2 linked regions of the Diceros bicornis minor genome follow. The protein of the gene in region 1 interacts with the protein of each later gene in a pairwise test. Links are inferred from orthologs where the notes say so. Each region holds a gene or a part of one and is shown in the gene's direction. Other genes may lie near its edges.

What was found.
Region 2: the proteins of ESR2 (region 1) and NCOA6 interact in a two-hybrid assay, tested with the Homo sapiens proteins (3 studies listed by BioGRID). The link is inferred for Diceros bicornis minor from reciprocal best matches to the Homo sapiens genes ESR2 and NCOA6.

Annotation. Positions count from the first base shown.
Region 1 is NC_080763.1:13,369,541-13,385,277, reverse strand, and holds the start of ESR2 (estrogen receptor beta), read left to right. Parts: upstream 1-9,694; 5' UTR 9,695-10,011; intron 10,012-15,737.
Region 2 is NC_080758.1:24,785,846-24,801,794, forward strand, and holds the start of NCOA6 (nuclear receptor coactivator 6), read left to right. Parts: upstream 1-7,195; 5' UTR 7,196-7,360; intron 7,361-12,921; 5' UTR 12,922-13,026; intron 13,027-15,949. UniProt on the Homo sapiens protein: Nuclear receptor coactivator that directly binds nuclear receptors and stimulates the transcriptional activities in a hormone-dependent fashion. Coactivates expression in an agonist- and AF2-dependent manner.

The DNA of each region.
Region 1 (15,737 bases):
GGAGCTGGGATGGAGATGAAGGAGCTGGGATGGAGATGAGGGGAGCTGGGATTGAGATGAGGGGAGCTGGGATGGAGATGATGGAGATGAGGGAAGCTGGGATAGAGATGAGGGAGCTGGGATGGAGATGAGGGGAGCTGGGATGGAGATGAGGGGAGCTGGGATGGAGATGATGGAGATGAGGAAGCTGGAATGGAATGAGGGCAGCTGGGATGGAGATGTGGGGATCTGGGATGAAGATGAGAGGAGCTGAGATAGGGTTGGGCGAGGAGATGAGAAGGAGAAAGTTCAACTGCTCTTTCTGCTATTTTGCCTAGGGCTGGTTGGATGGAAGGGGAACATTTTAGAAGGTAGACTTGGCAGTGAGAGGGAGGTGGGCTTTCTGCCCAAAAGCTTAGAGGGGGACCCTGTGTATGCTGATACTTGAAAACATGGGCTTTGGATTCAGACAGATGGGCTCAAATCCATCTGAGAGTTTAGTACTATCTGACCTTGGGCAAGTTGATTAACCTGCTTGTGTCTCAGTGTTCTTTTCTGTAAAATTTAGCAGAATAATAGGACCTATTTTATAGGATGATTGTGAGGACTAATGAGGTGTCATTCGTTAAGTACTTGCTAGTATGCCTAGCATACTGTAAGTAAATTAGTTATTGGATAATTTCCTCTCCAGACCAAGAACAAATCATCTGAATAAAGACTCCATATATCCTCTTTAACCTAAACTCAACCAAGCCTATTTCTCTTCTTACCCTGAGGCATTCTGACTCTAGATAACAGGTCTTTGAAGCAAGAAAATTACTGAACAGGGGTCTGACTCTACCTTGCTCTAGTCTAGACGTCCTTGAATCTTCCCCTCACATTGCCTCCAGAATGATCCTTTACAAGGTGAATCTACGTGTTACTTTCTACTTGTTGCCTACAGAATAAAGCAAAAGCTCTTTGGCTTGGAATAGAAGGTCTTCCTTGACCTGGCCTCTGATGACCTTTCCTGCTTCCACTAGCACACTGCATACTTCTAACTCAGCACTGATCTCACGGTATTGTATGTGTATGTGGATTTCCTCCTGTGTAACTGAATGTAGGACCTGCCTCATTCATTTCTGTCTTATTAATTTTCAATGTTTGTTTATTTTTTGTAAGGAAATATCTTCACATGGTTCACAACCGAAAAAATACAAATGGAATACAGTAAAAACTCTCTCCTATCTCTGTTTTACAGATATTCTGTTCCCTTTCTAGAAGGGAACCAGCTAATGTTAATAGGTTTTTTTTTGTGTCTTTCCAGAGATATTTTATGTGAATATGTGTATGTGTATTCTTTCTTCCTCCTTTATAAACAAATGGTAGCATATTAGTCATACCATCCTATACTCTGATTTTTTTCCCTTAATAAGTCTTGGCAATCTTTCCATCTCAGTATATAGCGAGTTTTCTCATTCTTTTCTGCCATTGCAGGCTGTTATTCATATCTTTATACCTCAACATCTGATACATAGTTAAGTAAATGATAAATATTGAATGAATGAAATAGTGAATGAATGAAAACAAAAGGACGCTTTTGTGCTGCTATTAGAAATTAGCTGAATAAGCTACCATACATTGTTTCAACACATTGCACATATCACACATAATGTAGATAAATCATACAAAGCCCTCTGATTTAACAACGAAATCTGACTTGTCTTATTCTTTCACATCCATTAGAGGGAGACATGAATCTGTTGTGTAAAGCCAACAGTTAGAGTCTCTAGAAAATCTGAACCAACAATAATAAATAATAATAAATAATAAATCTACCCAGGGCAGGAGGTTCTAGGGATGATAAAGGAAGTTAACTGCAAGAGGAGAAAGCCCCTGGGCTAGGAGTGAGGACACAGGTGAACTCCGCTCAGTTACTAACAGCAAGACAGATCAATCACCTTTGCTCGGCAGTGTGCTAATAAACCAGCTCAATAAAAAGTCCTCCTATACAGAAGTCAAAATATATTGATGTACACCTGAAATTTATGTGATGTTATAAACCAATGTTACCTCAATAAAAAAAAAGTCCTGCTGTGTATGTAGTGTTTACAGATTCCCTAGAGAAAAAGATAATATTTAGAGTGAGCCATGAACCACAAACCAGAGAGCAGCCGAGAAGTGGTCACATCAGTCACTGCCCTGTGTTCTGAAGGAAGCTGACCTGAGCCCTCTGAGCTCCTCTCTGGCCAGGAGAAATCTGTAGTGTAACTACTCACATGGCCAATTTCAAGCTACGATTGGTTTAATAACTGAATTACAAATTCGTTGGATATTTAACAATCAGCCCTCCTGAGCCAGTGAGAGCAGGCTCCTGCACATCGCTGAGCCTTATTGGGCCTTAATTACCTTTCCTGTGTAATGGGGATGATAAGTCACCCATTATGCAGATTCCATTACATAGTGGACAAATAAGCACTTTGAACACTTTAAAGCAGTGTTTCCCAAACTTCCCTGATCATAAAATCACCCAGTGTCTTGTGGAAAATGCACATTTCCAGGACCTGCCCCAGAGCTACTGGTGCAGAGCCTGCTGGGGAGGAGATGGCTGGGAATCTGTGTTTTAAACAAGTGGCTCAGGTGACTTTTATGCTCCAGGAATGTGGGGAAACACTAAGTTAGTCTTACAATTGGGTCACATGTCAGTGGGTCTTTCTCTGACTCACCGCATGTTGGGCCTGCCTGAAGAGATGTATGCCGAGTTCCAGGACCAGCTCCAGGCGAGGTGTTCACTTTCTCTACTACCTCCTCCACCCTCACAGCCTGGACACCCCTAGTCAGGAAACCTACCCCTCGGCCTCTCCCAGGCCAAGTCTTCCCTGCATCCACGTAGCCCTTTGTTCCAAGAACTGCTGGGTTGTTGTAAAGCTCTCACTTATAGAGAATTTACCAGGTGTCAGCCATGTTATTATTCATCCTTTCTTTTCATCCTCACAACAATCCTATCAAGTAGACTCTTGTGCTTTTCCTGTTTTACAGAGGAAGATCGAAGAGGCCAGGAAAATGTTCAAGGGCATAGAACTGGTAAGTGGTTGGTCTGAAAATCCCTACGCCCCCCTGACCCCCAAGCCTGGCTCCATCCTGGGCTCCTCTGGCCTGCGTGCACCAGTGCCTTTGTGTTCTCCTCCTGTCTGCAGAAGTCCTGGGCGGCAACTGCAGTTTCCAGAGGCAGAGTGGAGAATGAGGGATTCCAAGGGAGGGAATGCAGTGCTGGGCCTGCGCACCTGCAGAATTCAGAGGAGACACCAGAGGAGACCAGCATCCTCATGTCTGAAATTCAGTCAGCTCAGGTAACAAGCTCAAGCTTGGGGGTTAATATAAATCACTCTCTAAGAGGAACCCAAACATGCAGGGAAGCAACTTCTCATCCTCTGAATGTCCAAAAACTCCCAATTTCCACCATTTGTTAGTCACTTATCATTTCTAACAGGTATGGTAGATCATTTCTTAGGCATTTGGCTTCTCTCCTCTACAGGAGTCTAAAGCCTTAGGGAGATCAGCAGTTCAGAGAGAACAGGCGTTAGAGTGAAACAGGTCTGGTTTGAACCCTCTGCTCTTACTAGCTGTGTGATACTGGGCAAGTCACTTAAACTTTCTTAGTCTCCTCATTTGTTAAATGGGAACATAAATAGTACCTACCTGGTGAGATGTTTTGAGGATTAAATGAAATAGTGCGGATAAAGGGCTTACGAGCAATTGCTGCATGAATGTCAGTCACCTCCTCCTCCTCCTCCTCCTCATCTGAAAGCAGACACCTTCACATTCTCTTGTGTCTCAGGTAGGCACTTAAAGCATTATTGTTTTTCAGCATTAAGGGGGCATATTCACAAAGAGATAAATGCATGAGGGCAAGAAGCATTCTCAAAGAAGACTGTTTTATGAAAGAATAATGTAATGTTGAATGTCAGAATAATTTTAAGGTGAAAATAACTCAAGAAGCTGTCAGTAAGTTTCTCCCTCCAATGGTACTTTAGACTGAGATAGGGTGGGAAGGGTAGAGGGAAGGGATGGGGTCAGCTGACACAGCCTGTGGATACTAGCAGTAGCAGCATGGCGGATATGCAGAGACCCCAGTGCCAGGAACGCAGGAAATGAATTTCCCCCAGGAGGCAGTTATGGATGTACATAATGAGTCAGATGACCTGGGTTTCTATAACTGTAAATCTGGAGAACTCACTTAAATTTCCTTATCTGAAAAATGGGGATAAAATCAACATCACAGAGCTGGTGAAAAAATGAAGCATGGCCTGGCCACGTAAGTGCTTTGTTAATTGTAAAAGTCAATGTCATCCTAGGGCAGCAGTTCTCTTAGTAAGTTGTATCTGGTGGATGGTAGATCATGTGGGAGCAGGCTAAGGAAGCATATGGCCTGAAGTTGGGCAAAACCATGAAGGAGGGATTAGTGAGCAAAACTGCCCGGACAGTGGAGATGTAAAAAGAAGAGGAAAAAGGGGAGAATGCAGAGATCCTAGTACACTGGACAACACTGGTGAAATCTCAGAAGCTGTGTGAACTGCTTGGAGAAGTTCACTTCCTGGCTGTAATTCCCAGCAAAAGAGGGGATTGCATAATGGAGAAGACCGTTCCTTTCTCTGGTTAGGCTCATCAGATCAAGCAATAACATATGTGAAAGGAGCACCTTCTCTCTGTACACAAAAGGTGGGGTCTGTATGTTTATAAAGCCATTAATGCAATGTGCATCACTGGAGTGTTAGTTGATATGGGTCTAAAGGAAAATATGAGACATTTCTAGTAACTTTCCATGATATGAATGAAGAACTTGACAATGTCAAATACGTTTGTGAGAAGTAGAAAAAACTTTAGTCAACTTTTTTGAATTCTAAACTCTATGGAATCAGTCTTATTAGAATCCGTGGCCTCTTAAGCTATGTCTGTCTATACCCTATCTCCTTGTTGACCTCATTTCTGGGAATATTCCACTGTCTGACCTGTTATTAATATTATCTTATTCTGTGCCAGAAGAGGTAAGAAAGTTGCATTTCCAGAATTGCATTTGAGTCATTTGTGAAATTGAATATTACAATTTGCCACCATTTCTAACAGTTCTTTAACATTTTCTTTCTCAACTGGGTGTTCACATTGATGCCAGTGACCTCCAGGGGCTAGTTTCTTTTCTAGCTCAAGAGAGAATTGCTGCAATCAGAGTTGGGACTGAGGACAAGAATGTATATTCTTCATGTTGTTTGATTTCAAATGAAGAGAAAATTAGAAACTCAAGATATGCAAGAGATTTGTGTAGAATTTAAGTACCTTCGAGGAGCAGTAGACAGGATAAAAAGTTATGTTACCTGTATGTTTGCAAATGTCAAGACTGGGACAAAGAAGGATGACTTGTAAGGAGCTGGCTGACATCCTTGCTGCCCAGCTGGTTCATTTCCACTGCAGGTCAGAGTAACCTTGTCCTGTGGTCTGGGTGCCCAGGTGTCAGGTTAGGTCTATCTCACTGCTTATGTCCTTGGTCACCTTACTAAGGGCTCCAAACACTCGTCAGTAAAGATTGTTATGTAAATATGCACACAGGTGGTCATGCCTAGACAAGAACTTGGCAAAATTTCATTCAGCAATATCTGGGCTCTACAGGACAAATATGCCCCAGTTTACACAACAAACAAGAAGAGCATCACAGGGTAACAGCGGAGAAAGCCAGGGATTAGCAGGTAGGTAAACAACATTGGGTTGGCACTTTCACTCTGCACATCCACACGGGTGACCTTACAAAACAAACGTCATCTTTCTGAGCCTCAGTTTCCCCGTCTATAAAGCAGACACAGCCACAGGGAAGTTATGAGGATTAAATGAAAGAAAAATGAACCAACCTGCGCAAGCCTGCCTACTGTGGCGCCTGGGCTGGAAAGATGCATAAATATTAGGTTCATTTTTATTTCCACAAAAGACATGGTCCTAAAGAGCTCTACCCAAATTCCACTTTCAAATATCAAATTCTGTTTTATGAACCCTGGTTTATGAGCAGCTGAGATAACCTCTGACCTATCCCATTAGTAATCCCACCTTTCCAATCCAATGCCATCAAATAAAGGTGTTATTACAGGTGCAACAAGCTTTTCTCTCCTCTTTCATTAATTCCTTAAGTTTAGGGTTTCATCCCTCACATCCCCTTAAAACAGACCGATTTATACCCACATGATATGAAGAATGAGCCCAATCCTGTTATACTCGGGAGCAGGTAAGAGCATCCCAGGACCTGAATCCTCCCACTTGGCCTCAGGCTCAGAAGAGAGAGTAACACTCCAAAGCCATCCTATAGCGTGACACTCTTCTAGTCATTGGTTGGAATCCTCCCTCCCCTCCACTTTTCCACATCAGCTTTTGCTTTCTTGCCTTCTACAGGGTTTTATTTGTTTGTTTTGCCTCTAAGTAGTTTCTTTGCTACAGAAAATCCCTCCCCTTTCCCTCTGATCCTTCCAAGTGGAAGCCTCCAGCAGGTATTTGTTGAATGCCTGGGTTATACTAGGTGGATGCTATGGGTACTAATGCTACCGTGTGGGATGCTGGAGATATAAGATGGGCACTGTACAGTCACAGCACAGGCAGTGTGGACAGGTAGGATGAGCGGTGTGCAGGGAGCAGTGTGCATGTTCTGCTGGGCTGTCGCGGTCTTCACTTTACTCAGGCTCTCGGCTTTGGGATGGGTAAGACTTCACCAGACAGAGAAGGGGCAGGACGAGAGGATGAGGAAGATGCACCCTGATGGAGAGGGCTGCCTTCCTCCTACAGCAAAATGTACCTGTCCTACGCTGGCTTCCTTTGTTTTCCCAGGTGACATTTAGCTCATCTTGCAAGCTCATCTCATTAATGTAATCATAAATGCTACTAAATTCATATGACCCATCATATATAACATGATTGAATTTTAACAATCCAATGCTTTAACCCCAAAGGATGGCTGAATGGTGAGGATTTCAGTCCCTGTTGTAGGGTATTTTGGGAGAGGAAGGCCTTTTGATGTCACACCACGTGGGTGCTTCCTAGGCAGGTCATGAGTGAGGCGGAAATGAGACTGGGACCCTGCTGAGCAGAGGCACAACCCTCAACACTAGATTTCAGGGTGCTTTTTGATCTAGCCGTGGTATTAACTGTCTCAAGAATCTCTTCTTAGTTTTTTTTTTTTTTACTTATTTATTTTTTCCCCCAAAGCCCCAGTACATAGTTGCATGTCATAGCTGCACATGCTTCCAGTTGCTGTATGTGGGACGCGGCCTCAGCATGGCCGGAGAAGCGGCGCGTCGGTGCACTCCCGGGATCCGAACCCGGGACGCCAGCAGCGGAGCGCGCGCACTTAACCGCCAAGCCACGGGGCCGGCCCTCTTCTTAGTTTTGATTATGGTTCAGGGAGAGTTGGAATATTCACCCTCCCCACTCACTGCATTAAACCAGGCGAAGGTTCTATCCCTCAGGTGGCATTATTTTTCTCCAACCACAGGGTGAGTCAGAAGGAAACGTACTCACTCCCATTCATTCTCTTTGCTTAGTATTTCCTGCAAGCAGGTTTCCTTGTGGAACAAACAGCTTCTGTGGGTGTGTGAGGGTCTTTAAAAAGAGAACATGCTGTTCCCATGAGTGGAACGCCTTCTGAAGGAAGCAGCACAGCAAACACGGAGCTCTGGTTCCGGGGCTGAGCAGCAGCTTCTCTCACAGGGGGCAGGAGGCTTAGAGATGGGGCTTGTCTGCAGGAGACACAGTGTCCTGACGTTCAAGCCATCTTCATTTCCGACTGATTGCAGTCATGGTATGGAAGAAAACAGAGTCTTGGGCTCTGGCCTGGGTTCAAGTCCTTCTCAGCCACTGACTGGCCATTTTCTCAACCATAAAGTGGGGATAATTAATCATAGAATTTACCTCATAGTCTTGTGTATAAAATGAGACAACATGCAGAAACTGGAGTGTGGCTAAGTGCCAACAAGTGGTAGCTGTTCACAAGGCCATTTTTGCTGCTGGGTTCCTGTCTTACTATGTGTGGCTTCAGGAGGATGATACGAGTTCTGTGAGCCTCAGTTTCCTCATCTAAAAAGTAGGGTCAATCTTACCTGTGCAAGCACTTAGCTGATTCTCTGGAACGGTGTAGATACTTGATAGACGTCAGTTTTCTTCACCTGCACATCATCTTTGTCTGCCTGTTGGCTCATGACAAATTCCTTCATAATAATTTCCATTCCAGAGGTATCTTGTTAACAAGTAAGTACTACTTGTTATGGGGACTAGGTACTTGGAGAGATACCCAGGAGAGGGAACAGGGAAGCTGAGACTGGCAGAGATAAGCATCTTGTCCTCTACAGTCCTTCACAGCGGTGGATCTGGTCAGCTACACACCCTCTTGTCCAAACTCGCTTCTCTGCCTCATGGATCAGGAAACTGCCTTAACAACTTGAGAGAATCCAGGAGTCTTGGCTTTAATGAAAAATTGGGAGGAGGGGGTAGAGGTTTCTGATAACCATTGTTTATAAAGTTGAGCCTCTCCAGCACCTGTGGACCTCCCTCTTGTAAACCCAGAGAACGCTGGAGTCCCTCCAAGCTATTTTTGGCTAAACCCCAACACCAGAGGCTGGCACTATAAAAGTTTCCCTCCAAATGCCCCTTTGGTCTTCCTCTACCAGAGACCTAGAGTCACAACCACATCAAGAACCATGTCCCTTATGCCATGTGTATGGATAGTTTGATGACGGATTAGGCACAAATGTGGCACAGGGGTCTCACAATTGCCTATGGGACATCTGCTACCTTCCTTTCGATTTTTGCCATCAACGGCTGCTCTAAAGCCCATTGCTTCTTAACGACAGCCATATGGTCCTAATCATCACACTGTGGGCTACTGCGGGGGGCGGGCGGGGGCGGTGATGAGGAGAGCTTGGGGACGCTGCAGAGCCGGGGGAACTGGAACTGCCACTAGGGGGCGCTCCCTGCGGCTTGAGCTCGACCGAGCGCCACCAGGCAAGAGGGGCGCCGCCACCCCGGAGCCGCAGATTTTCCCCCGGGTGCTTCCTGGCAGGAGGTGAGTTTGAGGAGGTTCCTAGGACCTTTGCTCTAACGCGAAAAGGCCCTCCCAGTCAGCCCCTGAGAGCTGAGAACCCACACCCTCCACCTCCAACCTTGGCAGCGTGGCTTTGCGTTTCCAGGGGCACGAGGCTGCGCTGGCTGCTGGGGATTGGGCAAATCCAGATCCTCTCTGGTTTCACCACTCGATTCTTAGAGTCAGACTTGTGTATTTAATGAAGCATCCAGCCCCTCTCAGACCCACGTGGGTCAGGGTCTAGGGATGCGATCCTCGAAGTGTGGTCGCGAGCTCGGCAGCTTCAGTTTCAGCATCACTCCGGACCTGGTCAGAAATGCACATTCTCAGGCACCGCCCTAAACCTAAATCGGAGACGGGGGGCGGGGGAGGGAAGAGATGCCAGCTGTGTTTTGCTACCCCTGAGGTGACTGCGAGGGGCTCGAGGGTGGCAGCCCCTGCCCTGGGGCTTCCGCCTTCGCGCAGGTGAGTGTGGATCGCCAGGCAGGAGTCCAGGTCCTCCGAGATCTCCGTGCCGCTGGCTCGGTGGTCACGTGTGCTCTTGGATTTTTTTTTTTCCCCAGCCCGCCTCCTGGGTCTTTAAAAGGAAGAAGAGGCTCTTCGTTAAGTCGTTTGTGATCTTCGCAGTGTCTCCAGCTGCTGTCCCTGGTGACACCCATTCCCTCGCCCCGGCTGCTAGGACGCTGGCAGGGCTGAGGCTGCGAGAACCGCCTCTGGAAACTTGCAGGGTGGAGAGGACGCGCGGGAACCGGGCAGGAAGGGCCATCCTGGGCTGCGACGGGCATCCCAGTGCTGCGGGCGAAGGCTGGCGATCCGGGTCTGGGCTGCGCGAGGTCCGCGCAGTGTCCGCAGCTGGTGGCCGCGGGCCGGGTGCGGGGAACAGAACTACTCCGGGAAAAGCACATGTGCGCGTTTCAGAGATTGCTAGGCCAGTGTTTACCTGCAAGGTAAGTGCCCCTTTGCTCGAGGTGTGATTTAATTCTCTTGATTTTCTGTTTGAAATCTCCGAGATGATTTTGCTAATATCCATGTCTTTTTAAAAGAAAAAACTCCTCTGGATTTTCTCTGTGGATTTCACGACAATGGGTGAAGTGTGACAGTGGGAAAGTTGGACCAGGCGCTTCAGGCTTGAGTTTTCTGGGCCTGGGAAGATGTATCACAGGCAGGTGACCGGTGTTTTAAAACGTAGTAACTGCCATTCCTAAGTCATATCAAAAAGCAGAATTACTTCTTTCCTGGGCAGACTGAGCAAAATTAAGATCTGGTCTGTTTTATTTGCTGAAGAGAAACACGCCTGCTGCTCTCTTGACCCTTCGTGTTACTTTTCATGCCAATTCATATTGGAAGTATACAATTTAGTGAAGGGAATATTATTTTTGTGAAAAACAAAACTTTGGATTTGAGTGGATTTCTTAGGAAAATAAGGTTGACTCAATTTTACTAGCTTTTTAAAAAGCAACTTTGTGCTTTGGTGTGGTACACAACACTTTGGAGGAAAGCATCTGCCTTATTTTGTTAGATTTCTAGTATTTACATGGGCATTCTGTTAGGAATTTTTACTTTTGTTATAAGTTTCTAAACCCACAGTGGCTATTTTCCTCTGTGTGTGGGGAACTATGTTATTGAAAAAGGGAACATGTGAAAGGAAAGGTTTGTGCTGTGAGTATTGTAAAAAGTAAATGCACTGTGACTATGAAAAAAAATGACTCTTTGACTCATTTTTTCTGTAGAAAATCTATATGTTTCTGCATACGTTTGACAGGAAGGAAAATGTAAGGATCTGTTCATCAATAGGTGTTAAAGCATAAATCTTAGGATTCTATTTTATGTTCAAGCATTTTTTTTCAGTTGAATTAGTGAAACATTCTTGCAGCCAGTCTCCTATAACACTTAAGACCTATAAATCTTCGAAATCAATTAAAAACATATTTAGGACAGATTTCACAGTGGTTCTGAGGGACTCAAATGAATCTAATCACCTTTTACATTTCTCAATTTATTTATAATATGGAATAGGTAAAATTTAGTCAATTCAACTCTTAAAAATATAATTAGCATTTAATAGATATTGATATGTCCATTTTTAAGAATACGACAGTGCAATTTTCTGTGTGTATTCAAAATACATCTTGTAATAGTTTTAGTTCATGTTTTGAGTCATTTTATACAATATCTATAAATAATAAAATATATAAAACACTGAAAGCTGAACTTGAATCATTTACTGGTAGGTTTTTTGATAATTACATTTAGAACCCTTGAGAAATGTATACTTGAATATTAGACTTCATAATTCAGTGCCTAGCACATTGTTCTAGACATAATAGCATTTTTGAAAAGTCAGACTTACTACAGTATAATTTCCATACAGTAAAATCTTGCCTCTTCAGGTGAACCCCTCTATGAATTCCGACAGTTGCACACAGTTTAATAATCACTTCCATCATCAGGACAGAACAGTTCTGTCACTCCCCAAGTCCCCTTTGTGCCTTTGGATTCAACCCTCTCCGTCCACCCCAACCCCTGGAAATCACTGAGCTGTTCACTGATTTTATAGTTTTGCTCCTCAGTATTTTTTTACCTAGAAATAATTATCTTCCTTTGCTCTTCTCAAAAGAAAACCTCGGTTCCTCCTTTTTGATGGAATGAGTCAGGTTGTGGTATTTTTGTTTTAATCCTGTATAATTTGGGGTAAATTAAGGCAAAGAGAAAGCTATTTTGCAAATGGGAAACTAGAGACTGGAATTAAGTGTTAAATTCATATTGGGCTAATAGTTTTAATTCTTAGCAATTTTATATTCCATTCTAGTTTAAGCCTTGGGTTATGATAGGCATCATTAGTTATCCCAAACTGAAATATAAGGTCATTTAAAAATATTCATGTAATATTAATAGAATGTATTGTTCCTTTATAATCTTGGCATTTAAAAAATACTTTTACTATACTTGGGATTAAGAAAGTTTCCTGAAAATTACATATTATCAAATAGTGAGGAGCAAAAGAGTGATTGAAAATTACAATTTGGAGACATTTACAATAAAATATAGAATGATTGTGACTGCTTAAATTAAAATATTCTTCTTAACAGGAGCTAAGTTCTGTGCCCAATTTATTTGTAGATGTCAGGGTTTTTTCATTTCTGTGCTCATGCTTTGGAATCTAGATTTTCTTGCAGAACACAGATGCACAATCTTTTGTAAACTAATGTTCTTTACTGTTTAATACATTGTTCAATTTAGTAAACAGGAGACTGTTATTTTTAGGCACTCCTAATAAAGATATGTCAGATGATGTCTTTTTCCTTTGTGCTGTGAAAAACAAGAACCTATATTTTAAATATGCAACTTACCTTTCAGAGACATGGCAGTTACTAGGCTATGCAGAGTGGCAAGTTTATGAGGCACAAGCAAAGTGCGTAGTTGGCGTTCCTAGCCGGAACTGTTACAGCTCTTCGTAATTAAGGGCTTTTAGCAGGGAATATTTGTGTGGGTGTCCTTGAGTGAGGGTCACTTGGAAAGGCAGACTACTGGACTTGTGTATGTTTCCTCAAAGCAGGACTGCAACCGTTTGTTGGTAAATGTTTTGTGTTCAACTGTCAGACCAAGGACTGGACTGGGAGTTGACTATATTCAGTTTAACTTCTGCATTGGTCAGATCCTCTTGAATCTCTTCACCTACAACTCTCTCCCACCCTGCCCCAAATGAATATGTGAACATGGTTCCCTTTCCTAAGAGTGGGGCATTGTCTCTGACTGTTGGTATCGGGAAGGAGCAGAGACTGGCTGATGAGAGAATATTGTTGGGCTTCTCCCCCATACCCCTGCCTTAGCGTGTCATAACGGAATAGAGGAAGAGGCTCTGTCCTCTTCCTCTATTCAAGCCTTTGAAATTCTGCTTCCAATCTAGCTCAGTAAACTCCAGTGGGCTACTAGGGGAATTAGGTTTTTCTCATTTTGGAAGATAGCTGTACCATGTTCTTAAGAGTTGCATGTCAATTGATTATTAATGAACAGTTCTATGGTGATTTTCAAGTGGTTTTCTTTATTCCTAATTAATATTAAATTGATAGAGAGCATTGATACTTTGTTTTAGAAAAGATACATTTAAGGCCAATGATTGGCAAACAGTCACACACATCAAGGATATTTGACACTTAAGAAATATTTATCTTTTCCATGAAATTCCTTCTAGTGTCTGCTTTGTGAGTGTGATAGACTTCTGTGGGACACACAAATGGGAGTGTTTGAACTGAATGCTTGGGGAAGTGTGATGGGCAGGCTTGAGAATACAGCAAAAGAAGAATGTGGCATTTTGTGCTCCACACAGTGGTAACAGGCTACTAGCAGCCCAGCTATTTGGACTGGTAGTGAAGGATTGTCAAATAGGAGTTAAGAAAGTAAGATTAGGAGGCAAAAGTCTTCAGGGTGGCCCTAAAGGTATTTTAACTTAAATTGTCTAGAAATTCTGCCCAACACTAGAGGTGTATTCAGTGGCATGCCAATAGACGACTTCATTCATCCTCTTGGATATGTAATAATACCTTACAGGATGCTTTCACATACATCATTTCACTTCAAGCTCCATGCACGTGAAAAGGTGCAGCCCATGTTAGGTCCTGTTTCTACTGAAGAAGATGTGGAGGCTCAGGAGTTCACGTGGTTTGTCTAAGATCGCCTGGCTTTCAGGCGGAGCTGGGACTAGGACTCCATGTACTGCTCTGTCCACTGGGCCAGAATATACTAAAAACAGTCCTGCTGGGGACTGTCTTCTTGGTCTTTAATTAGATTTGATAGATACTTTGATAAAATCAGTCTACTCTGTCGGGAGTGTTTTTCTGCCATTTCTAGGGCCTTCCTTTTTCTTCTCCAAGGAATCACCATCAATATTTGCAATTCTATAAACGTGTTTTCTGTGTAAGAGCCATAATGTGTTCCCCGGCCAATGTGTTAGAACACTGTGTATAATCCGTGTGTACCAAAAGCTTTCCCGCTGAATGCAGACGTGACCGGAGAGGGTTCAACACAAGTGTGTGTGCTGGGGGGTGGGACAGGAGAGAAGTCTCTGAATAGAGACAAGGGCAGTTCATCACGAAGGATATGGGCCAACTGTTGTAGGCTACGGTGACTAATTAAAGAAAACTGACATGCAAAGAAATGATTAACTCTCAGAATCAGGATGTCCGGGTGCGTGTCCTTTTGTTGGCCAGGAGAAATTCCATGCCTGCCAGGCCCAACAGTTAAACTGTGTGGAGACTCTGTTTCCCTATTGTCCCAGATAGTGTGGTCACTGATGCTCGGGTGTTCAAGCGAATGTGCTGGGAAAATCCTGTCCTACGATGTTGAAGAAATTTGTTCATTTTGGGGATTCTCTCTTTCAACCAGTTTATATTGCTGTTTTAGAGGAGGACTACTCAAGTAACCAGAACAGGTATGTTTTTCACTTTATAAACCTCTAGTGGAGAAGACATCCCTTTTGCTACCTGTTCACCTATCTCTCAGGCCTACTGCAATGATTTCAGTGCATCACCCTTTGTTGTGTCTTCGCTTATGAAGGAAAACCCTTTGCATTGGCTACAAGTTACTAATTATCTAAGATGCCACTGACAAATAGTAGTCACGTAAATCTGGATACATCTAAAGGATATCCAACCAAAAAGCAACACAGCCTTTTCATCACTGTCCAGCAACCAGTTCTCTCACATTAATTACTATTGGACTGGACATGTATGGAAATTCTAGAGAAGTTGTTTGGCGTATATATGCAAAATCTGTATTTTCTAAGCAAAGTCACCATAGCACCTGATTGGTTGCCTGGATGAATCCTGGCATTTGCCATTTGGTGACATGTGTCTGACAGGTCATTTTAGCGTTTCTAGGCCAAGAATGAGCATTTCAGTTGTAGGTGAAAATGAGTGAAGGGATTGATTCTCTGTTCCTGAGCGAGATGTCATATTCATGTTATATTGTGTGTTCCTCTTCGAACTGGATAGTGGGAAGTGTTGTTTCAAGTTCATGAATTTCCATACTATATTCATCACTTGATGTCAGTAGAAGCTTTATGTTTTTAAGAGGCCCAATGAAAGGGAAAGACAGCAGTGGTTTCTGATAGTTTGGTGTGTTGGCTTTGCTGAGCTCCTTATGCTAAAATGCTAAATACATTTCTTTGGGGCAATGTAAAGTTGCGACAACATGAAATTCAGTAAAATCTTGATTGACAAAAATGTTCAGAGAATGCTTTTTTGTTTAAGCAATTTAATTGAGTTTTTCATTAATTGAGTTTTAAGTTGAAGTCTCTTCTTCAAATTCTTCTTCTAAAATTCACTACTTTCCTGCTTCTTAATTTCCTGAATGTAATTTAATCTTCATTTGACAATTGAGAGTGTTGAATTTATCCTGATATAAGTTTACCTTGAGCAGTACTCTGTGTAAGAAAGTTGGTGTCCTCACCGTGGTAGCCACACTAGCCTTTGGATGTACTTTTTATTTATTAAATTGGGTAAGCCATCTTATTGTCTTATACTCTTCTTTAGAGTTCAATAAATATAAAATGTGATTATTACCTCCAGGTTACATTTTATTACACATAAATACAACTTGTTTTGCGTGTTACTGTATTTTGCTCTCAATTGTTATAATGTATACTGTTTAAGTTGTGTTGTTAAAGTACTTTAAA
Region 2 (15,949 bases), on another chromosome or scaffold:
CCATTAATGGATGAATGGATAAATAAAATATGGTATATTCATACAATGGAATATTATTCAGCAATAAAAAGGAACAAAATACTGATACATGTTACAACATAGAAGAACCTTGAAAACGTTATGCTAAGTGAAAGAAGTTAGACACAAAAGGTCACATATTGTATGATTCCATTTACATGAAATATCCAGAATAGGCAAATCTATAGAGACAGAAAGCAAATTAGTGGTTGCTTAGGGATGGGAGAATGAGGGGTTGAAAGGAGGGCAATATTTATTTATTTATCTATTTATTTATTTATTTTTGAGCATTTCACTTTATAATGTTTTATATGTTGATGTTTTATTTATTTATTTATTTTGTGAGGAAGATCAGCCCTGAGCTAACATCCATGCCAATCCTCCTCCTTTTGCTAAGGAAGCCTGGCCCTGGGCTAACATCCGTGCCCGTCTTCCTCCACTTTATATGGGACGCCACCACAGCATGGCTTGACAAGCGGTGTGTTGGTGTGCGCCCGGGATCCAAACCCGGGCCACCAGCAGGGGAGCGCGCGCACTTAACCACTACCCCACTGGGCCGGGAGGAGGGCAGTATTTAAAGAGTACAGAGTTTCTTTTTGAGGTGATGAAAATGTTCTAAAAAATTCACTGTGGTGATGGTTGCACCTATTGTGACTATACCAAAAACCATTAAATCACACACTTTAAATGAGTGAATTGTGTGGTATGTGCATTGTATCTCAATAAAGCTGTCAAAAAAAGACATGGGTTTTGGCAATATCAACTAGAGCTGATATACTCTGATATGCAAACCCTGTGACCCAGCAATCCTAGTTTTAGGTAAAAATCCAGAAAATTGTACACATGTTCCTCCAGAGACAAGTATAAGAATGTTCACAGTAATGCTATTAAAAATAGACCTAAAGTGGAAACCTAAATGCTCATCAGCAGTAGAATGGATAAACTGTGATATATTCAAATAATGAAATGCTACACAGCAATGAAAAGGAACATATATAATGTTCTATATATAATGCAACAATATAAATGAATATATATAATGCAACATATATAATGCAACAATATAAATGAATCTCAAAAACATAAAATTGAGCAAAAGAAGCTAGACTCAAAAGAGTACCTTCTGTATGATTCCATTTATATAAAGTTAATACCTAGAGAGCCTAATCTATGGAGTTAGAAGTCAGGATACTGTTTACCCTCAGGGGTGTTGGTAATGATTGGAAAGTGGGCATGAAGAGGCTTTTGTGGGGCTAGTAATGTCCTATTTCTTGATTTGGATGTTGGTTAGATGTTCACTTTGTGAAAATTCATCAGGCTTTACAGTTATGATTTGTGTATTTTTATGTCTGTATGTTATACTCCAATAAAAAGTTTTAAAATTTCAGAATATTTTTGAAAACACATTTTCAAGTCCTAAGAATATTTCTGCTTTGTTTTTGGTCACTTCTTGATACTCTTCAATTTTTTTCAGTTGTGTAGTTATTATTCTATTTCTGTTTTTCAATCTTTTTTTCCTAAGAGCAAGCCATTGCTTGCCCATTTTAAGCCTTTATGCAAAGTAGAAGTGACCCTTCTTCAAGGCACTTTATTTCCTATTGTCTGAAAATTGTTGAACTGATTTTGTAATAATGAGGCACTTTACTGCCATCTAGTGGTAAATTATCACAACGAAGTTATAAATTACATTGTCTACCAGCGACTGGCACCCACTTAGATGTGATGTCCTCCTGCAAGACACAACTTGCCCAACTAAATATGGTAACCTTGTTGTTTGACACTATTGTGATGGACCCCGCAGACAGTAGAATGTTGACGCTCTTCAAGTGGTTTTGTTCTTACTTTTTTTTCCTGTTTGATGTTGTTCTTAAAGACATGGTTCAAGTATTCACGATCAATTTTATCACTGCAAAGCTTAAGCCTATTTGGACAAACATATGAAAGTTGAAGTCCAATAAATGCTAATCAAATTGCTCATATCAAAGAACAACTAATTTTCTTTTTCTTTACCCAAGTCTGAATCCAGAACAATCATGAATATCTTAGGACTGCTTTTCTTGCTCAAAATATTCTGTGAAACAGCCTGAGAACCTCTTCAGAGGCCTATGTTAACCTGCTTCTTGTTGAGTCATCACAAACGCTAGGCACTCTTCTAAACATTTTATATCTACCAATTCACTTAATCCTCTATTAACTCACTTAACTTATTTAACGAATCCTCATCTGTAAGGTGCCCTTATTATCTGCACCTTACAGATGAGGCAACTGAAGCACTAAAAAGTTAAGTTCTATTATAAGTGATAATATTACAAAAATACCTTCTTCGGGGAGCTTACAGTCTATTAGGGACACAAAACAAAATAAAAGGAGTGTAAGGATTTAAATACAAACAAAATAAAAAGGAGAAAATACTTTGGACACTGTCAGACAAGTCCTTTTTCTTCTTTTGGTCCCACTTTCCTCATCTGTATAACAAGGAGGTTGGATTTGCCCAAGGTCACAAAGCTAATAAGTGACAGAGCTAGAATATGAACTTGGGTATTTTGGCATCAGAGCCCAATTTTGTAGTCGCTGTGCTCGTCTTAGTGCCAGTTCATGGCCTGTTTCTGTTCCTTTGCTGCCTTACTGTGGGCAACAAACATTTATGTTGCCTGTGCTCCTGCTATTTTCACCTACCGGATGTGTAGGTGCCCCTGTCTCCTAGCTTCCTGCATCCTTGCTAATCCAAGGAAACCCTATGACCTTTGGGGTAAGGAATGGATAACAAGGTGAGAAAATGAGGATGGTGGCTCAGGTTCTGGCATGTTTTTTTGAGGAGTGGAGCCACAGTAAAATAGAGCCAGAGCAGCCATTTCAGATTTTCTTTATCTTCCAAACTGTACCAAACCACCAACATTCCAAGGAGTCAGTAAGGACAAGAATATCCTGTCTGTAAGAACTGATGGACCTGGACTTTGTTGATGACTGGATAGCTAACCAATCAATGACGTACAAATGTAGCCTTTTGCCTGATGATTGACCCTCAGGCAAAGTACAAACCTAGTCTCACCTCATCCAGCACCAATGAACTCTTCTTTAAGATAGTCCACTTCAGGGGCCGGCCCCGTGGCTTGGCGGTTAAGTGCACGTGCTCCGCTGCTGGCACCCCGGGGTTCGGATCCCTGGTGTGCACCAACGCGCGGCCTCTCAGGCCATGCTGAGGCCGCGTCCCACATACAGCAACTGGAAGGATGTGCAGCTATGACATACAACTATCTACTGGGGCTTTGGGGGAAAAAAAAAAATAAAAATAAAAAATTAAAAAAAGATAGTCCACTTCATCCTCCCTTTTTCCCATAAAAACCCTAAGCCCCTCTCCTGTTAATGGGAGACTATTTGGGTTTCTACCTGAATCTGTGCTCCCCAAATTGCCATTCTTTGATCTCAAATAAATGCTTTGTTTCTTAAATTGGTTTCTGTTTTTGTAGGTTGACAGTGGGAAAATATATATAACATAAATTTTGCCATTTTAACCATTTTTATGTGTACAGCTCTGTGGCGGTAAGTATATTCATATTGTTGTACAGCCATCACTACCATCCATCTCCAGACATTTTTCACCTTCCCCAACTGAAACTCTGTACCCATTAAACAGGAACCTTCCATTCTTCCCTTCTTCTAGCCCTTGGCAATCACTATTCTACCTTCTGTCCCTATGAATTTGACTACTCTAGGAACCTCATATTAGAGGAAACATATAATATTTGTCCTTTTGTGACTGGCTTATTTTACTTAGCATAATGTCTTCAAGGTTCATCTATGTTGTGGCCTGTGTCAGAACGTCCTTTCTTTTTAAGGTTGAATAATATTCAATTGTATATATACGCCACATTTTGTTTATCCATGCATCTGTCTATAGACACTTGGGTTGCTTCCACCTTTTGGCTATGGTGAATAATGCTGCTAGGAACATGGGTGTAAAAATATCTCTTTGAGTCCCTGCTTCTACTTTTTTTGGGGTAGATATCCAGAAGTAGAACTGCTGGATCAGATGGTAACTCTATGTTTGACTTTCTGAGGAACCACCAAATTGTTTTCCACAGCTGGTGCGCCATTTACATTCCCACCAGCAATGCATAAAGGTTTGAATTTCTCCATATCCTCACACCAACACTTGTGATTTTCTGTGTTTTGGTTGTTTTTTTTTTTAATAATAGCTCTCATTGTGGTTTTGATTTGCATTGCCCTAATGACTAGTGATGTTGAATGTTTTTTCATGTGCTTATTGACCATTTGTATGTCTTCTTTGGAGAAATGTCTACTCAAGTCTTTTGCCCATTTTTAAAATGGATTTTTGTTGTTGAGTTTCTAGAATCTTTCAGAGCTTCCTTTCTTTTTTTTTTTTTTTGTGAGGAAGATTAGCCCTGAGCTTACATCTGTGCCCATCTTGCTCCACTTTATATGTGGGACACCTGCCACAGCACGGCTTGATAAGCAGTGCATAGGTCCGAGCCTAGGATCCAAACCCGCGAATTCTGGGCTGCCGAAGCGGAGCGTGCGAACTTAACCACTGCGCCACCAGGCCAGTGCCTTTCAGAGCTTTCTTACCTCTAGAAATTTTTGTGAGACTTGGAGTTGTGTGGATGATGTCTTCTCAGCCCCTGGGCTGCCTTCTGGCAGGACCCTTGTCTCTGGAGGATGAAATAACCAGAGTTTCTCATTCAGTCTTTCAGATTAATTAATTAATCAAATAATTCATTAATTGTATCATTATCCAAAGAGTCACTCTTTGGATAGATCAGATTTCCAGGCTAACACAAAAGAATATGTGCTTATATATTTATGTGAAGCTCAAGAACTGTCAAAGTTGATCTACAGCACTAGAAGTCAAAATAGTAGTTATCTCTGGGGGAGCAAGTATTGACTGGGAGGGCACATACTGGAGGAAATAAAAGGAACTTTCTGGTTTGATAGTTCTGTAACTTGATCTGGCTGGTGGTAACACAAGAACATAGGTAAAAATTTATTACTTAAGACGTTTGCATTGTGCTGTATGCTAATTATACCTTGCTTTCTAAAAGTTAAAAGAAAAAGCTTTAAAAAAACTTTTTTCTGATGGGAGATTCCTCAAAGAATTAAAAATAGAGATGCCCTATGATCCAGCCATCCCACTACTGGGAATCTATCCAACGAACCTGAAATCAACAATCCAAAGAGGCTTATGCACCCCTATGTTCATTGCAGCATTATTCACCATAGCCAAGAAGTGGAAGCAACCTAAGTGTCCCTCGACTGACGACTGGATTAGGAAAATGTGGTATATATTACAATGGAATACTACTCAGCCATAAAAAAAGACAAAATCGTCCCATTTGCAACAACATGGGATGGGCCTGGAGCGTATTATGTTAAGTGAAATAAGCCAGAAAGAGAAAGACAAACACTGTATGATCTCACTCATATGTGGAATATAAACCAACACATGGACAGAGAAAACTGGACTGTGGTTACCAGGGGCAGTGGGGGTGGGCACAAGGGGTGAAGGGAGTCATATATATGGTGATGGACAAACAAAAATGTACAACCCAAAAATTTCACAATGTTAGAAACCATTAAAACATCAATAAAAAAAAAAAAAACTTTTTTCTGGGCTCTGATAAATCCTTTTGGTGTTAATTTCACAGGCTCCAAGGCCTGAGGTGCCCCCTTGTGGCCGCCTGTGGTTCTCTTAATTTTTCTCGGCCCTCTTGGGCCCAGCACCTAGCACAGTGCCCAGGATTCACACAAAACAACAAATACTTATTGGGGCCTTCTCTGTGACAGGCACTGTGCTATGTGCTGAGGAAACAGCAGCAAACAAGATGGTTAAAGTCTCCTTCCTTACGGAGTCCACAATCTAGTGGTGAAGACAAGGAATAAACAGCCTAGTGCCTCCTAATGAGGACAAGTATGAGAATCTGCCTGGGGAGTGGTCAGGGAAGGTGTCCTTGGGGTATCCATGTTTGAGCAGGGATCTGAAGGCTGTTGAGTTATCTCTGACGGAGGAGAGCATTTCAGGCAGAGGGATCAGCATGTGCAAGGGTCCTGAGAAGGGAGGCAGTACAATATGTGAAGAAGATGATGGCAGTTACAGTCTAGAGAGAGTGGAAGAGGGCCCTGAGAGAAGTCTGAAGATGTGGGAAGGCAACAGTAAGATATTTATTTGGCCTTTATCTCAAGAGCAATGTGGAGCCATCAAATAGTCTTAAAGAAATGAGGGACATGATCAGATTTCTGACTTTGAAATAATACTCTGACAGCAGGATGAAGAATAGATTGCAGGGAACCAAGGAGGATGTGAAAAGGCCATGGATAGCTACTGCACCAGTCCAAGCACACAAATAAATATTTGTGGAAGGACAGGACTCCAGACTCCTTTTTGTAGATGAGACCAGTATGCCTGAGCTGTGCAGTTTACAATCCACCTGCTCATATTCTATCTTCTGTGATGCTCATAACAGATCCTTAACTCTCATTTTAGGGATGAGAAAGTTGAGGTTCAGATGCAAAAGAAAATCACAGCTATCAAGAGTGAAAGCCAGATCTGAATCCAGGCCTATATGACAGGTATCAAGCCCAGCGCTGGTGAGGGTTCCCTACATTTGGGGAGAGGGGAGGGGCCGCACTCCCTTGTTCACGCAAGAATTATTTTATTGAGCACCCACTGAACTTGCAAGCCTGACGGTAATGGGAAAAGTAGAGAGGAGCTTATAATAATAATAAAGGTTAACTATCTTTATCACCATTAACGTTATTAGACACTATGTGTCAGGCACTGTGCCAAAGGCTGTCCATGCCCTTATTTCCTCTTCGCAAGCGCTATTATTATCCCCATATTTCAGATGGGTAAACTGAGGGTTGGAGAGTTGCCTTGCCCAAGGACACTCAGCCAGAGGGCTCCTATAGGGCTGTGCAGAGCTTCCCAAGTGAGGATAGGAGCCACCGCCGATATTACAGTGCCAGGCGGCATACAGAGATCCACTGGATCCCGGCCCTAAGCACTCTGCACCCAAGTGAGCGGGCGCGCGCTCCCGGGGACGTTTGGTCACGTGACCCAGGGCCCCGCCTCTGGGTCCGCCCCGCCCCTCCCGCGCTCCCTCCCTCTCGCCCTCCCTCCCCCTCCCTCCCCGGCCCGGTCCGGCCCATCCCCCTCCCCGCCGGCTCCCCGAGGCCCTGCCGGGTCGGGCTGCGGGCGGCCGGGCGCCGACGGCCGGAGAGACGGGCGCACGCGAGGACGGACGGACGGACACACGGAGGGCCGCGGGCACGCACGGCCCCGGCCGGTGCTCCGAGGCCCGCCCGGGAGGGCTGGGGCCGCGCTCAGGTGAGGTGACGGCGACGCGGGCCCGTAAGGGGTGGGCCCACCGGGCGTCCACGGTCCCAGCCCGGCTGGCGCCGCTGGAAGGAGGTGCCGCCCGGGCCCGGCGCGGGAAAATGGCGCCGGCCGACCGTGGAGCACGGCCCCAGTGCGGGCCCGGCCCGGAGCCGCCCCGCCCGCCGCGCTCCTGTCCCCGTCGCCATGTTGGGGAGCGGGCCCGGGGCCTGCGGGCGGGGGCGCTGGAGGGAGCGGGGGCCCGGCTGGGATTGGGGAGGGTGCGGGACGCGGGGTCCGGGGCGCTGAGGGAGTGCAAGGCCGGCCGGGGTCTGCACGGGGTGGCGCTCCAGGCCCGAGGTACTGGCGGGAGCCGGACGTGGGGTCGTGGCCGGGGTCGCGGAGAAGGGACACTGGGTCCACACGGAAACGGGATCGGGGTCCGTGGGGCTGGGGGACCAGGACCGGGAGCTGTGTTAGGCTATGGGCAGTGTTAGGACCCCAGAGCAGGTAGGACCCGGAGGGGCGTGGGGTCCAAACTCAAGCTGTCAGGGCTGGGGACACTTCTTTGGTGGTGGTGGGAAGAGTGTTGGTTAGAAATTGGGCCCTTTGGGTACAGACGAGGATAGCAGATTGGGGCAGTCGTCGGAGTCGCGGGGCTGGATTGCAAGTCCGTGTAACTCCCAAGGGACTGAGGACATAGGTGCCCCGAGGATCCTCCACTCCCTGCTGGGGAGAGCAACAGGAAAAAGGAAGGCTTTGATGAGGAAGGGGGAGAAGGAGGGCTGAGGTTTGGATGAAGGAGCTGGTAGCAAAAGGGGTGCAGAGAGTGGAACTGGTTGGCAAGAAGAGAGAGAACCTCCATCAACTTAGGGAGTTTGTGTGTCTTTAAAAGGAGGGACTGGGCTGTTTGTGGGCGGTGACCCAAGGTGTCTTCCCAGGAAGGGGACAGCCCACTGTTTTAAGAGCAGGGTCACCTGGGGAGGTCATCAGAAAGGCGTTATTGAAGCTAGTAAGAATGATGAAGAGGAGTGAATATATAAAAACTACAAGGGTCTTAGGGATCCTGTAACAGTTTCAGATCATGTAGTGACTTGAGCTGAGACCTAGAAAGAAAAAGTTGACTTCTCAGGATCTTACCGATTAGTGGCAGAGGGGGTCTGCTGCCTCCTCATTCCATATACTACCTTAGAGGAATTTGTTAGTTGGGAAAAAAGTGTGAAGTCAATCATGGCAGTATAGATCAAAGAACTATTAATTAATTTTGTTTTTGTAATAAGATTGTCAGTACAAAGACTGAGGGGGATACAAAAAAGTATAGGTAACTAGCTATTTGATAATTTCTAGCCCACCTCCATTTGTGCCAAGAAATTATCTGCAGGACACTTGTGACTTCTAACTTTCTAGAGTTTTAAGAGAGGCTCCTTCTCTTCTAGGTGTTTACTACACAGCAAAGGGACACAGAAAGCCTAAAAAGATAACCGTGAACAATGGTAGAGACCTAGGATCTCTATCATGATCAAACTTTAATTGAGGTTTGATCATGATAGAGAAGAGTTCAAAGTTCATATGGGCTATGAGAGAGTTCTGAGGGAAACTATGCAAATCAGTCATGATATAGTAGTTCCTGGGCTCCCATATAATCAAAAAGGACTTTCAGCAAAAAGATTATGAGGACGTTCATAGCAATAAGATTTTCAATATACAGTATATTCAATACGTATATGCCATACATTTATACAGCAACAGGATTCATTTGTTCTGGATCTTTCTAATGCAAGAAGGCCTAACCTTGTCTGTGCCATGGGCCCCTTTAGCATCTAGTGAAGCTTATGGGCCTCTCTCAGAATTTTTTTTTTTTCCTCCCCAAAGCCCCAGTACATAGTTGTATATCATAGTTGTAGAGTTGTAGCTCTTCTGTGTGGGATGCCACTTCAGCATGGCTTGATGAGCATTGAGTAGGTCTGCGCCCAGGATCCATACTGGCGAACCCCAGGCCACCCAAGTGGAGAGCGTGAACTCAACTGCTGCACCACTGTGCAGGCCCTCTCTCAGAATATTTTTAATTGCATAAAACAAAATACACTGGATTACAAAGAAAACCAATTATGTTGAAATACAGTTACCAAAATATACAAATTTTGATATAGTAATATAGAGATACTTCTTTATCAGCACATTAAGAAATCAGATCTAGTGATGAGTCTGATAATTACAATTTTTTTATTGATGTCATAATAGTTTATAGCATTTCGAAATTTCAGTTGTACATTATTGTTTGTCAATCACCATATAAATGCACCCCTTCACCCCTTGTGCCCACCCCCAACCTGCTTCCCCCAGTAACCACCAAACTGTTCTCTCTGTCTGTGTGTTAGTTTATCTTCCACATATGAGTGAAATCATACGGTGTTTGTCTTTCTCTGTCTGGGGTATTTTGCTTAGCATTATACCCTCCAGGTCCATCCATGTTGTTGCAAATGGGATGATTTTGTCTTTTTTTTTATGGCTGAGTAGTAGTCCATTGTATATATGTACCACATCTTCTTTATCCATTCATTTGTTGATAGGTACTTGGGTTGCTTCTACGTCTTGGCTATAGTGAATAATGCTGCAATGAACATAGGGGTGCGTAAGCGTCTTTGGATTGTTGATTTCAAGTTCTTTGGATAAATACCCAGTAGTGGGATAGCTGGATCATAAGGTATTTCTATTTTTAACTTTTTGAGGAATCTCCATACTGGTTTCCATGGAGGCTGCACCAGTTTACATTCCCACCAGCAGTGAATGAGGGTTCCCTTTTCTCCGCAACATTTGTTATTTTTTGTCTTGGTGATTTTAGCCATTCTAACAGGTGTAAGGTGATGTCTTAGTGTAGTTTTGATTTGCATTTCCCTGATGATTAGTGATGTTGAACATCTTTTCATGTGTCTGTTGGCCATCTGTATATCTTCTTTGGAAAAATGTTCATATCCTCTGCCCATTTTTTTTTTTTTTTTTTTTTGTGAGGAGATCAGCCCTGAGCTAACATCCGCCAATCCTCCTCCTTTTTTGCTGAGGAAGACGGCCCTGGGCTAACATCCGTGCCTATCTTCCTCCACTTTATGTGGGACGCCGCCACAGCATGGCTTACCAAGCAGTGCGTCGGTGCGCGCCCGGGATCCGAACCAGCGAACCCCGGGCCGCCGCAGCGGAGCGCGCGCACTTAACCGCTTGCGCCACCGGGCCGGCCCCTGCCCATTTTTTGATCGGGTCGTTTGTTTTTTTGTTGTTCAGTTGTGTGAGTTCTTTATATATTATGGAGATTAACTCCTTGTCGGATATATGATAGGCAAATATTTTCTCCCAGCTGGTGGGTTATCTTTTCATTTTGATCCTGGTTTCATTTGCCTTGCAGGAGCTCTTTAGTCTGATGAAGTCCCACTTGTTTAGTTTTTCTTTTGTTTCTCTTGATAATTACAATTTTAAAGACATGATGAGGGCCGGCCCCGTGGCTTAGCGGTTAAGTGCGCGTGCTCCGCTACTTGCGGCCCGGGTTCGGATCCCGGGCACGCAGTGACGCGCCGCTTCTCTGGCCATGCTGAGGCCACGTCCCACATACAGCAACTAGAAGGATGTGCAACTATGACGTACAACTATCTACTGGGGCTTTGGGGGGAAAAAAAAAGACATGATGAGCATAAATAATATTTTAAGATATCTGCATCAACTGTAATATGATATAAAGATATCTATGATTACTGTGACAGAGTCATAGATGCTGCTAATACTAGAATGGTTTGTTGCCTACATTCATATTTGAAGAAAATGGTGACTTTCAGTTAGAATTTAGTGAAAATAAAGAGGTAATTTTTTTTTCCTATCCGAGTTTATGGACCCCCCCACCCTGAATTCTATCTGTGGACTCCTATCTATGAACCCCAGGTTAAGAAACCCTACTTCTACCACCAAGCATGTCTTCCATTCAACAGACACTTACTGTGCACTGAGACATCTACTGCATGTCAAGCATTATGCTAGGCTCTGGAGATTCAAAAGTCTTTATGGCAGGATCCTCTCACCTTGGATATTCAATCCCATGAGAGAAGTGGACATGTAAACACTGATAGTTCAAGATGGTAAATGCCAAAGGAGAGTTATCAAAGGTTGTAAAGATACAGAGGTGGCATGTCTCTGCTCTAGGAATCAGGGAAGGTTTTGTGAAGGGGCGACGCTTGAGATGTGTTCTGAAAGGTAGAGTTTGCTAGATGCAGAGTTGGAGAGAAAAGCCTTCCAGGTAAAGGCATGCATTTTCAGGGAATGTAAGTGAATGTGACTGGATCACACTGTGTGTGTGTGTGTGTCTGTGTGTAAGGGTGTAAGAGTGGTCAGAGATGAGATTGGGAAGGTGGTTTGGAATCTGGTTGTGAAGGACCTTGCTAAGGAGTTTTGACTGAATCATTAGCTGATAGGGAGGTATTCAAGGTTTTCAAGGAGTTGAGTGTATGGTGAGGTTTAATTTTTAGGAGATAAATGGATGTTCTTTGGAGAAGGGTGGACTGGAGAGCAGGGAAGAAGTAATGAGGGCCTGAACTAAGACAGAGGCTGTGAAGTATTAACAGAGTTAGAATTTTCAGGTATTGATATAACTGACATTGTGAATGGTGAGAGAGAAAGGGAATTTTTTAGATTTCTAGTTTGGGATGGTGGCTGTCAAAGAGGTTAAAAAAAGGTGAAAGGAAAATGAGGTAAGAATTGCCACAGAAAATAAGGGAGGAGATATTTTTTGGTAGAGTAATAGACTTTTGGAAACCATTGCAATGCTGTCAAGTGTGGTGTAGTTTTTGCTTAAGAAAATCGGAAGTAAGTATCAGCAGACATAAAAGGTAGTGAAAGACCTGGAAAATATTCCTAGAGTGTAGGAAAATCACCGCTATCTGTGTCAGGGATCGGCAAACTATGGCATAGGTGAAATCTGGCCTACCACCTATTCATGTAAATAAAGTTTTATTGCAACACAGGCACACTCGTTCATTTACATATTGTCTTTGGCTACTTTTTCTCTACCAATGGCAGAGGAGAGTAATTGTGACAGAGAATATATACTTCAATTACTGTCTGGCCCTTTACCAAAAACATTTGCTGATCGATGATCTATGTATCCAAATGTTCGATCTTCAGCTTCTGATTTGCCATCCAGTTCTGATACGATGGAGAATAATCATTTTGGCTCTGTCCTTCTGGCTGGATCCCCCATGCTCTGTGTACCTGCAACATGACAGGCCCCTGAATATTTTATATTGGTCAGTGATGCCAATGTTTCCTGTTCTGGGGCCTGCTATATGGCACCTGTGGTAACGCCAGATTTTCACAGCTTAGACCATGCTGGGGCTTGTTTTGCCATTTTTCTATTGGGTTGTTTTTTTCAAAAGATTTCTTTATTTTCTGATTATTAATCCATTGTTGATTATACGTATTACAGATATCATTTCCCATTTTGTTGCTAATCTTTTTAATTTCTTTAAGTTGTCTTCTGTTAAAACGAGGTTTTGGATTTTAATAAAGTCAAATTTATCCGTCTTTTCCTCCCCTAGGATTTTGAAGTTATTCTTCATATTATCTTCTTGAATCTCTACTGCTTTGCCTTTGATGTTTAGATCTCTAATCGATCTGGAATTGACTCTTGTGTGTGGTGTGAGGTAGGGTCCAGTTTTATTTTTTCCTATATATGATTAATTATCACAGCACCATTTGTTGAATGGTATTTGTTTTCAAATTGTGAGCTCTTTCTCCTGGAGTCTGTCTGAGGTCCTAATTCCAGCTCTGCTGCTTGCTAATTGTGTGACCTTGGACAAGTTGCATAGCCTCTTTGTGCCTCAGTTTCCTCATCTTTAAGATAAGGATAATAGTATTTATCTCGTAGAATTGTTGTGAGGATTAAGTGAGTTAATTCATATAACATGAGTAGAACAGTGTGGCACCTAGAAAATGCTTAATGATATTAGGTGTTATTTAGCGCTATTGTACATTTCTGATTCTCAGCACCAGGCACAGAAGAGAGGCTCAATATGCTCGACACAATTGTAGAATTAATTTGGTTTTCAGGTCAAAATGGAATGGCTGAAAGCTAGGCTTAGTGTTGCAGGAGATGCTTCCAAGTTGCTGCTTTTAGTTTTAGTTGCTGCCTTAGACTGTCTGCTGGAATGGAACTCCTCCCACCCCATCACTTCTTTTGCAGAGAACTTCTGTAGCAGAGGATGCAAACTGGCAGCCTATAGTCAGATTTGACCTGCAGACACGTTTTGTTTGGCTAGTACAATATTTTTAATGTCTTAAAAATTTACACAAATTTCTGAGTTTCTGACTTACCATGAAAAATTGGAAGATCTGTCACCACCAAGCCCATATTCTCTCATAGCAGTACAATAAAAGCTAAAGCTTTTAGGTGGGCTGTTGTTTCCTAGTTCTCTGCATGGTTCTCACTACTCTCTTGCTTTGCTCATTTACTTTTATTGCCCTATAGGTGTTTGATTTTCTGGTTCTTACTTTGCTGAGGTTTTAAATATTCTCTCTCCTAAACCAATACATGACATATTGGGATAGGGTCAGGATGGCCAGAAATTGGCAGATGAGTTTGTGGGCAGGTAAAAACTAAAATCTGTTTCTAAGGCTGAGTCATACTTGATCCTAAGGAATAAAATGATAACTGAAATTAAAAATGCGATGAAATTCAGTTGAAATCGCTGAATATTTAGGCATCTACTATATGCTGGGACATTAGAAGTTACCATATTGGTGATAGAAAAGAAAACTAGCTGGCCGGCTTTTTGAAATACTACAGAAGTGATCTTTTTATTTGTGATTTAAAGCTGTTCTCCAAGAGAGCGGTTGAGAGAGAGGAAATATAGGAATTCATTCATTTATCCAACATTTATTGGGCCCTACTATGTGCATTGGGCTAGAACTCTGCAGGATACAAAGATGAATTTAGCTAGGGCTTAAGTGTCATGTGGGGTGTATGTACTGTGTGATGGAGCTGAGATATCAGAGTATGGTACCTGAAAGAGGTGGCCTTTGAGCAGGGCTGCCAAGAATGGTTAGGATCTTTTTTGTGTGTGTGTGAGGAAGATCAGCCCTGAGCTAACATCCAGGCTAATCCTCCTCTTTTTGCTGAGGAAGACCGGCTCTGAGCTAACATCTATTGCCAATCCTCCTCCTTTTTTTCCCCAAAGCCCCAGTAGATAGTTGTATGTCATAGTTGCACATCCTTCTAGTTGCTGTATGTGGGATACGGCCTCAGCACGGCCAGAGAAGCAGTGCGCCGCTGCACGCTCGGGATCCGAACCCGGGCCGCCAGTAGCAGAGCGCGTGCACTTAACTGCTAAGCCATGGGGCCAGCCCGGTTAGGATCTTAATACTTGGAGATGAGGGGGTATTTTCCAGGCTGAGTGAAAGCATGATTGTAGAGATGAGTATTTAGGAGGTAGTAAAGAGTCCATTTTGGCTGGAAAACAGGATTGTTACAAGGCTCTTGTTGGAGTTAAGGCTAGAAATAGAGATTGAACAACAACAGCAATAATAATAATAATAATAGTAGCTCACATTTTTTGCATGCATACTATTTGCCAGGTAATGTGCCAGGTGTTTTATAAGTAGTATTTCGTTTAATCCTCACAACTACCCTGTGAGATAGGCACTGTTTTTTATCTCTTTTTATAGATAAAGAAACTGAGGAATAGAGCTAACAATTGATGGAGAAAGAATTTGAGTCCAAGCAGTCTAATTCCAAAGCCTATGTTCTTAGTCTGTGCATACTATGCACCTGAATCATGGAAGGCTTTGAATTCTTTTTATTTCCAAGCTGGGAAGTTTAGACTTGATTGACTAAGTAATAGGGAGTGATCAAAAGTTTTTAGCCACATGGTGACATAATGAAAGCTATACATTAGGAAAGTAAGCCTGGTCATGAAGTGTAAGAACAGCATGCGGAGAGAGGAGAGACATAGAGCTAGTTTACTCTCTCCCTCCTCACTATATTGGGTGTTTCTTGAGGCCTAGGCCTGTGTCTCTGTCGTTTTCTTCTTCCCTTTGGCTCCAATTGTGTTGTCTACCTATTGTGTTGTCTGGCACATTTATTTATTTAAAAAAATTTTGTTCTTTTTTTACCTCACCTTATTCTAAAAAGGACTTAGGTGGCTGCCTAGGAGCTCAGTAAACATTTGCTGAGTTAATTAATAAATGATTAGAGGTGTGTATATAAAGGGAATACTATAGCTTTGTTGGAGGAAGTAATGCAGCCCTAGAATTTGGTAATAAGCTATAATTTATATATAAACCCTATAAAGCAAAAGACCAGAATCACATCTTTTTTGTTTTTTTTGTGAGGAAGATCAGCCCTGAGCTAACATCCATGCCAAGCCTCCTCTTTTTGCTGAGGAAGACCAGCCCTGAGCTAACATCTATTGCTAATCCTCCTCCTTTTTTTTTCCCCTTTTTCTCCCCAAAGCCCTAGTAGATAGTTGTATGTCATAGTTGCACATCCTTCTAGTTGCTGTGTGTGGAACGCTGGCTTAGCACGGCCGGACAAGCAGTGCGTCCGTGCGCGCCCGGGATCCGAACCTG